Linked DNA regions of Mus musculus. The protein of the gene in region 1 purifies or fractionates together with the protein of each later gene. This does not show direct contact. Links are inferred from orthologs where the notes say so. Each region holds a gene or a part of one and is shown in the gene's direction. Other genes may lie near its edges.

What was found.
Region 2: the proteins of Etv1 (region 1) and Cop1 purify together in Homo sapiens (affinity purification with mass spectrometry; 4 studies listed by BioGRID and IntAct, counting the BioPlex papers as one, with this or other methods). This does not show direct contact. The link is inferred for Mus musculus from reciprocal best matches to the Homo sapiens genes ETV1 and COP1.

The regions. Positions count from the first base shown.
Region 1 is NC_000078.6:38,778,122-38,783,286, forward strand, and holds the start of Etv1 (ETS translocation variant 1), read left to right. Parts: upstream 1-1,960; 5' UTR 1,961-2,300; intron 2,301-2,428; exon of another isoform or gene 2,429-2,594; intron 2,595-2,726; 5' UTR 2,727-2,813; coding exon 2,814-2,858; intron 2,859-2,981; exon of another isoform or gene 2,982-3,088; coding exon of another isoform or gene 3,089-3,181; intron 3,182-3,677; coding exon 3,678-3,765; intron 3,766-5,116; coding exon 5,117-5,164; intron 5,165-5,165. UniProt on the Homo sapiens protein: Transcriptional activator that binds to DNA sequences containing the consensus pentanucleotide 5'-CGGA[AT]-3'. Required for olfactory dopaminergic neuron differentiation; may directly activate expression of tyrosine hydroxylase (TH).
Region 2 is NC_000067.6:159,230,401-159,235,373, forward strand, and holds the start of Cop1 (E3 ubiquitin-protein ligase COP1), read left to right. Parts: upstream 1-1,799; 5' UTR 1,800-2,037; coding exon 2,038-2,450; intron 2,451-4,973. UniProt on the Homo sapiens protein: E3 ubiquitin-protein ligase that mediates ubiquitination and subsequent proteasomal degradation of target proteins.

The DNA.
Region 1 (5,165 bases):
TAAATCCAAAGTAGAAATGACAGCTGCTGAGAGGAGACCGCTGAATAGTTTCTACACAGTGAGACAGCTTACACATTTACACAACCACGTGCTGAAGAGCAAGGAAAAGTTACTAGTCCTTTCTCAGCTTTCTTTCCACTCTCAATTCCCTCCTTTTCAGGATTTTTTCTTAGTCAGGGCACCCCGGGATTATACAATGTGAGAGTTCCATTAGCCTAGACTTACTTCCTCTCTCTCTATTGCTCTTCGATAGAAAGGTACTTCCCCTCCTCTACGGTCATTGGTACCAAGTGTGCAGAGGCGGAAAGCCAAAACAGAAACACACAGACACCTGCGCGCACCTGCAAAACAACAACAACAACAACAACAACAAAAACTTTTGTGGTTTGAGGAACTTGGGCCTTTGTTATGTATTTTTTTTCTCCTTGATCCGCCACGCCCCCAACCACGTGACCCAGAGAGATTGGGATTTTGTGAATGGAGCCGAAAGGTGGAGTGGGGGGGGGGGGGAATGGGCAACGCCCCCTGCTCGAAAGCATCCAATCCGCTGGCGGAGCGCTGCGGGGTCAGCAATAAACAACAATGGACTGGAAATCCACGGTTCCTCATTGGCTTCAGGGACAAGCTCCCGGGGCCTTTCGAGAAGCTCCGCCCTCTCCCGGTTGCTCTGGATACCTGTCCCGCTCTGGCCTCACAGAAAGGCTTTGGAAACTGTTACCGCCTTGTCTGGGGTTTGCAGACTGGCGGGTTACCCACGCTGTGCTCCCCTCTTCGGGTTGCACCCTCACAAAGTCTAGTAGCGTTCGAACGCACCCCTCGCCCGGGCTCTGATACTGTCCTCTCTCAAAGAGGACGCGCGCGGCGCCCTGACTAGGCTTGGGGCAAGCATTGTGTGTGCCCTGGAAGACTACACTTTTCCCTTGGTGAAGCGCAGAGTGGTTTTGTCATAAACTACGCTCTTTCTCGGCGGGTCCGGAGTACCAGGCGCGCACGCTCCCATTTTGATGTTTCCACCATGTTCCATTTAAGGGAAGAAACTTTCAAATAGAAATTGAGAACTGCAGCACATTGCTCAACGGGGCTAAACAGCTGCTGGAAAAGTCCTTTAGTCCCCAGCTCTGGTCCCCGCCAGGGTCTCAAGTGACTTTTAGCACCGTAAAGCCCCGGCCCCACTCCTCCCTGGCTTCCAATTCTTGGTAGGGCAGCGGCTGCAAAGGGGACACATCAGAACTAAGCTCTGTGGGCAGGCAGCTTCAGAGAGATTCTCGCTTCCAAAGGTCCCATCATTGTCCTTGTAACCCGAGCCCTCCCTGCTCTTCCCCCACTTCTTGGTGGAGGAAGTGAAATCTTCAAGTACAGTAAGTGACACCCTCCGCCTCTCTGTATACATAACAAAAGCTCCGGAAACGGCGGGGACGGGGGAGGGGTGCGGGAGGGGGGCATCTGAACTACCAAGTCCTCCCCCACCCCTCTGTGGCCACTGGAGGTTTTTTTCCCTCTCAGCACTCTCCAGGATGAATCTGATTTTTATACTTTCCTCGCCCACTCTGCTACGTACTCCTCCGGATCCTCTCTTCCAGCGCCACCTCTCCTTAGAAGCAGCTTCTCCCGCTTGCTTTCCTTACAATATTTTCATGTCCAACGGACGAAAGGAGATCATTTTTGTTGAAGATGTATTAAAAAAAATCTTATAAGCCCTATTACAGTGTTGAAAATGGAGAAAAAAAATAGCTTGGACCGAAAGCTTCTGAGGAGCAAGGCTGGAGCGTGTGGTGGGTGGACTCCGGGTCAAAGGTAGAGAAAAGGGATTGTGGACACTCGATCTGTACCCCAACCTCTACGACAGTGCTTTAAGGACATAATAATGGACCAAACAACGCTAGGAATGAGAACTGGTTGACTCGATACACTAGGTTTCAGTATCCCTCCGGTTTTAACAAAAACAGCGAGTTAGGAAGGAAGTAGTTTCCCTCGGTGGCTTTTCCTGGGTGCGGACCCTGCGACTTCTCCCAGAGTGGTCGCAAAGGCATAGGGGCGCAGGAGACCCAAGGGAAGGGGCCGAAAGCTGCCTGATTGACAGCCCGAAATCTGATCTTGTGAAAGAGACGTGGAGCCAATGGGAGGCAGCGATCCATCAGTTTGGATTGGAGGCCCCTGGAGGAGAAGTAGAGGAAAAACCACCGAATTCAGCTCTGTCAGAGGCGCTTTCGGCTTCCAAGGGGAAGTGCTGGGCAATAATTAATGTTTTTATTAAATTTGGAGGGAATTTTTTGCAGCCGTTCGCCTAGCGTGGCCTTCAGGTGGGTATTTCCAACAACTTTTTATGTCTCTCCAGATAATTGCATGGTTGTGGGTTGCAAAAACTATTCTTATGAAAGAGGTAGCTCCGTCTCTTTAGTCCCGTTAGGTGAAAAGCAAGTCTCGTTGATCGCCATTGCTAGTTTTGCCCACGTTTGCGAATCAGAGCCGCCTGGGGTACACTGACCGAGCAGGGAGCATCCAGAGTGTAAATAAATACATTGCCTCTTGTTAGGATTTTTGATACGACCGAAAGTATGTAAATTGTGAACTCTCTTGGCTCTCTTTGGATCCAGGTGAAGAAGGCGGCGTAGGGGAGGGTTATTTTTGTGAATGGGGCTGTCGAGGGTAATTAGCTATGCAAATGCAAGAGCTTCATTCATGATTTTTTTTTTTTTAAGCCTAAAAGCCATCTTGTTCCCCTCTAGGTTGATAGAAGTCCAGATCCCGAGGAAATCTCCAGCTAAATGCTCAAAATATAAAACACTGAGCTAATATTTGCGAAGAGGAGCAGAATGGATGGATTTTATGACCAGCAAGTGCCTTACGTGGTCACCAACGTGAGTGATCAGTTCGAAAGTTGCTGTTTATAAACTTGACTTGGACGGGGGTGGGGAGAGCGAGAGATGCGAAGGGAGGGGGCAGGGGGTTGGGACTGCAGACACTTTATCTGCTTTGTTGCCACTGTAGGGCGACTCTGCTTCTAGAAGCCCTATCTACAAAATGAGCTTACCTTTGAGTGATTCGGATAAGGCATAGTTTTGTTTTAAGACCTCTTCTTCTGGTTAATATGTCCACGATGAGTGCAAGAGGAGACGGAGGGCAGCAACAGCTGCACTCAAAGTTTGTGGCTGGGTTTATCTGCCACATTGAAAAGAACGAAGTTGAGACAAATGCTGACAATTTTGTGTTTACATGGGGTGTCTTGGGGGGGGTCTTCCCCCTCCCCTCTCATTTTCTCACTTTTCCCAGTTTTCCTTTGGCTTCTCTTATTACGGGTGGGGGTGCTGTCTGAGAGAATGGAATTCGCTGTTTTAATCTGGAGTTGATTCAGAAAAAAAAAAAAAGAAAGAAAAGAAAAACATTAAGCGTTTTAGCTTAATGTTTTGATGCTGAGATTACATGTAACTAGAATGAGGATAAGCAGGAGTGTTAGGACATGCTCTGGGAAGCAACTCTCCCTCCTCACTGCCTGCCGAACTCTCAGCCTGAGCCTCCACTGTCAAAGTCAGACAATATGTGTTGGAGTTCTCCTGTGAACTTTTTCTTTTCTACTCAGAGAGAGGATCCAGTAGGCTTAAGTTATGTATGCATTTTTTTTAAACGTGTGACATCTGAGGTTTATATTCTTTTAAAGGATTTTATCTTTCCCTTTGTAGAGTCAGCGTGGGAGAAACTGTACCGAGAAACCAACAAATGTCAGGAAAAGAAAATTCATTAACAGAGATCTGGCTCATGATTCAGAAGGTGAGGTTTGATTCTGAGCTGAACGCCTCTTTTTTCACTGATACTTTTTCCCCTCCAAAGGGGGACATCTTAATCTCATCGAAAAAATAGTAGACATTGAAATATGGACTGAAACATGCAACCACTCACACAGTGAGTTTGCCTTGGAGACTATTTTATGGTCTTGTCACAAAAGTAATGAGAGGAAAATAAACACGTAGCAGTGACCTTCTTATTTTAAACAGTATTTTGTGTTCCTTCTTGTCCATTTGTCAGATAATTCCCTGTACTGAGATAACAATTTCAAACTGTAACACCCTGGGATAAAGTAAGCAGCCATGCCTGCTGCTTACATTTTTCTTTCAACTTTATTACAAGTTAAACAATATAAATGAAGCCATATATTATTGTTGAAATTTTATGAGTTTGATGACTGCATTTTGAAGTCATAACATTTGTTGATAGGCCGTAACATGTTCACTAGATCAAACTTAAGGCTTATTGAATACTTATAATATTATTTAGTAAATTAGGCTGTAGATTCTTCTTATAAACTGTTGGTAGGAGGTCAATATACTATGAATTATTTCAGCCCTGTGGGGCCACTCATTATGATTTGAAGAAACTTAGACTTAATTACTAAAGTTCACATTGAATTTAAAATTAAATGGACTGAATTATAAAACTTCATGAAATTTTCATTCTCATTAGACACTTTTCTTCCTACCCCCCACCCTCACCCCAAGTGAGGTGGCAGAATATAATTTGGAATTAATAATAAACCAAAGCAGGACACTAATGTCTTTGACGTTTACAGATCGGCTAAAAAAATTTTTTTTTCTTGAAAGCTTGTATTTGAAGTTGCACCCTGTGTTAGTGTTGAGCTATTTGGCTGGAAAAGGTAACTTGGGAATTAACTCAAGTTCTGTTGGTATTTTGTACATAAAATTCAAGTGTAAATGTCCTGTCTTTCTAATATCTACCCCACTTCTATTTTAGTAAGAGTTAAACACTCTTAGGAAGGGTTTCTGTACTTAGACCATCTTAGTGAATTTCAGTTTTTTTTTTTTCTTTTTCTGAGCTTACTTCTTAGTTATTTTGAAAAAGAAAAAAAAAGATAAAAGAAGGTAATTTGATTTAGTTGCCTAAATATAATATTATTTAGTTGCCTAAAGAAATCTCTTAAAGTGTCTCTTAATTGATGTCATAAGCAAGCAGGATTTATTGAGATACTTGGGATATGAATCCTATGTTCAGTTGACACTCCCTAAATTAAAATCATATTGAATGGCAGTGTCATGACAAACATTTTCATGTGATGAAGCCTACAGACTGTTGAGTCTCATGTTGGTGTGTCTGACTTGCTTTTTAGAACTCTTTCAAGATCTGAGTCAGTTACAAGAAACATGGCTTGCTGAAGG
Region 2 (4,973 bases), on another chromosome or scaffold:
ACTCTCCTCTAACTTTGATGTAAATTATGGTCTTTGTGGGTTTTGATTTAAAAACTCTGTACCCCTCAACTAGAGCACCAAGAGACTTTTCAAAGATATGAGACCACTCTCCATCTGGCCATCAATAAAAAGGACTTAAAACTTTTAATATGCTTAATTGGTGTGATTATCAGTAACTATATTGCGTGGATTATTTCACGAGTACAGAGTTTCTAACAACTGTTCCAAATTTACAGCGATTTAATTCCCAACACTTAGGAATGTGTATAATAATCCAGTTTTATGTATATACTCCAAGTGTATGCTTATCCAGGACCATAAGGTGCCCATCTCTTATTCCCCCTTGGGTTGCCGCTCTCTGTGGTCCAGTGACAGAAGGAATAAGGACAGTAGCCCTAAGTACTGTATCCCTAATCAGAGGATAAAGGAGCCTACAACAGATGCATCATCAGACTGGTAGACATCAGACACGTTGAATTCTATCTGCTTCATGTCCAGACAGAGGCTCTGACAAAAGTTGTCCTCCTAAACCGGCCAGGTTTAGACTTAGTTTTCATTTCCCAGGGGAACTAGGCGAGTATTGCTGCTTCAATGCCAACAAAGACGGAGTTATCAATGAGGTTTTACAAAAGGTTGGAGATAATTTAGATAAGTGACATCAGGGACAAGAAGCAAATAATTTCTGGTACTATAAAATGTTTGATTTGAAAGAGTAATAAAGACAAAATTCTAGGCCTTTGGGCCCAGGCTTGGGAATTTTGCCTTTGTGACTCAATGCTCCAAGGTATGCTAATCATAAAACAGATATCAACATTCCTCCACCCATCAGCTTCCTGGGTTCAAAGAGTGTTAATTCAAAGAAAGTCACCCTGACCATTGCTGGAACCCACTATGCAAAGGTGCTATTGCTAGGGGCTCTTAGATTGTTAGGGGCTCTTAGAAACTGTCTTGAGAGATAACCTGACACTTGTGACTTTGTACTTCCTTGTGACTCTTAACTGGTATTTTTGGTATTTTCCAACAACGCCCTTCCCACCTCCTTAAGTTGTGGTTTCTTCCTTTAAATACCCCCTAACCCAGCTACTCGGGGCGCCACGGTCCTCTACCCCTGCGTGGTGTATGACCGTGGGCCGAGAGCGCTCTTGAATAAAAATCCTCTTGCAATTTGCAGCAAGACCGTTTCTCGTTGGTGATTTTGGGGTGTCGCCTCTCCTGAGTCAGAACGTGGGGAAGTCCTCACGTTGTGGCTCTTTCAGATTGAAACCTAAGGCTTGTAACCCTTTTTCACTGCCCTGGCCCCTTACTCCTCCTAACAGGACTTCAAAATCTAAACAGAAAAAAAAAATCTAAACGAAAACAAATTATATTCCTGCCACACAATCGGGAAAAAGCGCGAAGCCGCAAGAGAACACAAGTGAGCTTAGTATTTTCCAGATAATAATCCATAGCCGCATGCGCGCTCGCTCACACGCATGCGCAACACCACTGCTCCGTACCGCCGCAGTTTTAGCTGGGCAATCCGCCAGCGTCCACCCGGGGCACGCTTAAGCAGTTGCTTTTCGAGCGTTCCCGGTCCACTAGACCAGATTCCCCGTCCTTTCCCCTTCCACCCTTTGGCTCCATGAAAACGGCCATCTCTCTACTACGTCAGAAAGGAAATCAGCTTTCCACTCGGAGAACTACACGCTCGGCATCTCCGTACAGCCCGGCGCCGGCGCCGGCGCCTGCGCGCGCAGCTGCTCCGCTGCCCCGCCCCTTCCGCCGCTCATGCGCAAGCCCGACCGCCTCGGCGCGCCCGGGTTGGCTGCCCCGGCGGCCTCCTCGGCAGTCATGGCTCCTCGGATGTGATAGTTTCCCCCGCCCCCTCGCGTAGGACGCGGCGGCGGGGCGGCGGTGGGAAGCCTAACTTTATTGTTCCCCCGGCCCGTCTCCCGGCGCGTCCTCAGGATGCTCGGGAGCTGAGCGCCGGGGGCGGCGGAGGGTCGCGGTCTGTCCGGGCCCTCGCCTCGGAGCGCAGGGCCAAGGGAGGGAGTCACGATGTCAGGTAGCCGCCAGGCCGGCTCGGGTTCCGCTGGGACGAGCCCCGGCTCCTCGGCCGCCTCCTCGGTGACTTCCGCCTCCTCGTCCTTATCCTCGTCTCCGTCGCCGCCGTCCGTGGCGGCCTCGGCGGCGACGCTGGTGTCCGGCGGCGTGGCTCCGGCCGCGGGCTCCGGCGGCCTCGGCGGCCCGGGGCGGCCTGTGCTGGTGGCGGCCGCGGTGTCTGGCAGCGCGAGCGCCGGCGGGGCGGTGTCCGCGGGCCAGTCCCGGCTCAGCTGCGCGGCCAGGCCCAGCGCCGGCGTTGGAGGGAGCAGCTCCAGCCTCGGCAGTAGCAGTAGGAAGCGACCTCTGCTCGTCCCGCTTTGTAACGGGCTCCTCAACTCCTACGAGGACAAAAGCAACGACTTCGTCTGGTGGGTTTGCATAGCAGCCCCTGCGTGCATGACCACGAGTTTCTGCTGCTGAGCCTGGCGGGGTCCCGTGGAGGGAGGCCTGTTGGAGGTGCTGGGATTCGAACCTAGAGAGTTGAGTGTTTGCAGAGTTAAGGTTCCCGGTTGGGAGGTGGAGCTGGACTGGGATCCTTAGGCAAAGTGGTGAAATGGGATTGCACAGAAGTGGGTGCTGGTGTCCAGGAACTGAAGGCATTTAAGGGAGTGCTTAAGGATAAAGATGGAGGTCCAGTAAGTGGTTATTAGAAAGGAAGTATTCGGGGTAGGAGGTTAAATCCCTTCTGGTTTTTGTTTTTGTTTTCTTTCTTTTTTTGGCCATCTAGTGGACGAAGTATCAGTCAGGAGTAGTTCATGATTTTCGGAGGTAGAAGACTAGTTAGTGCCTGGTGATTCTGAGGTGTGGGATTGCTGGTCAACACTATATTGTAAAAAAGTAGATGGTGCTCGAAACCTGGTTGGTGATGCTTTACGAAGTTATTTTTGCCCATCCTGCGTTGGAATATGAATTTGAATAGATAGGACACTTGTAATACTGTTAATAATTTTGTAGTCAAAGTTTGTTCACACCCAATTCCAGGTTTCAACTGTTGGAAAAAGGGAAACACATTTTTAGTGTTTCTGTGTTGTATGGAACGATCGCAGCGCTGTGTATACACTGGAATCTCTGACTTGAGAAACGCTTTTACAGTCATTGCATCACAGCTGGCATCTTGAGCGACACAGTAGAATTCAGGCATTTGGCATCTAAGAGGGACTTTAAGCAAAAGATGAATCTGATTGTCTTGAAGAATGCTTTGAATTTTAATTGGGTTTTGATATTACTGGTAAGATTATGAGAGCTTAATGAAGATTTCCTGCTCACAAACTGGTAGAATTCTGGGCCTTTCCTAAGAAGGAACTTGTTGTTTGACTTAATGATGTAGGAAGTTGGCTTGAACAGTCATGCTTGGGGAAGTTAGTTCAGATCACAGTAGAAGATGGGCTTAAATGGTATTATTAAAGATGATAAGCTTAGAGATTGTAACCATTGAGAAAGGTATTAGCTACACTTTCTTGTTCACTAATATAATTCGTAATTTTGCTTTTGTTTAGATTCAGAAGTTGTGTGTGTGTTGAAATAGAATTATAGCTGTGGTTATTTGTAATTTAAGAAGTTTATGGTTGGGTGTAAGAGGTGTTTGCATTCCTTTTTTTGTTTGGCTTTATTTATTTATTTATTTAGAGACAGGGTTTCTCTGTGTAGCCCTGGATATCCTGGAACTAGCTCTGTAGAACAGGCTGGCCCTGAACTCAGAGATCCTCCTGCCTCTTCCTTCTTGTGCTAGGATTAAAGGTGTTTGTCACCACTGCCTGGGTGAGGTGTTTGTATTCTTGTCCAATCAATAGTGTCACATGATAAGGTAGAAACTAGTAAAACAGTTTGCTTTTTTCTTTTTGGCCATTATTTGTAGTTCAAACCAAGATGCCAGCATCCTTAGGTCGTTTAATAGTGTAAAAGGTGTGAGAAATCAGTATTATTCAATTATTAAACAGATAACTTAGGCACTGACTGTTGAACTATCTCAGAGTACCACAGTCTGTGGTGTAGCCTGTATTACTGGAGGTGAACGAGGTACAGCTGGCAATTGTTTTTATTAGGCGTGTCCTATTTTCATTTCTGTTTCTGTGACCAATACCTTGACTATAAGCCACTTAGAGAAGAGAAAGGTTTATTTGGCTGGAAGTTTCAGTTACAGTTCGTTATTGTGGAGAGAGCAATGCAGGAGCTTAAAGAGTCCTAGCCACTGTCAAGCAGAGGGAGGAGTGTCCATGCTGCCTGCCTGCTTATTGGCCTGTGACTCAGCTGGCTTTCTCCACTCCTGTAGTCAGGCCTCCATAGCCTGGTGGTGCTGCTCACAATGGGCTGGGTCTTCTTAAGTCTGTTAGCAATCAAGACAATCCCCTACAGCTATGCCAATAGGCCCACCTGATCTAGACTGCTCCTTGGTTGAAACTCTTTCCATGTGGTTCTAGATTGTGGTTAAGTTGACAGGTTTTAACTTTTTCTATAACTAGCTCAGGAGTAAGACTAAATTATTAGTTCATCACCTTGTTGTTTAAAAGAAATCAATTGAGCCTACTGGCTTGTGAGAAGACTTCAGTGGACAGGAGCTCTTGTTGCTCTTGCAAAAGATGGGTTTGATTCCCAGCACCCACATAACAATGTCTGTAACTCCATCTCCAGGGCATTGAATCCCTCTTCCAGGCCCCACAGGCACCCGGCACACAAGTAGCATACAGACATACTTGTAGGCAAAGCACTCATATACATAAAATAAAAGTAAGTAATTATACTCTTACATTGTATAGGCATTTTATATTCTATTATGAAAACATCCAGTGAGTATTTGTGGCTAAAATTCTGAATCTTTTACCGTGTAAGAATCTCAGTTCATCATTTCTCTTTCTGGTGAAGTTGTATATTCAGAAAAATTAACCAGTGAGTGC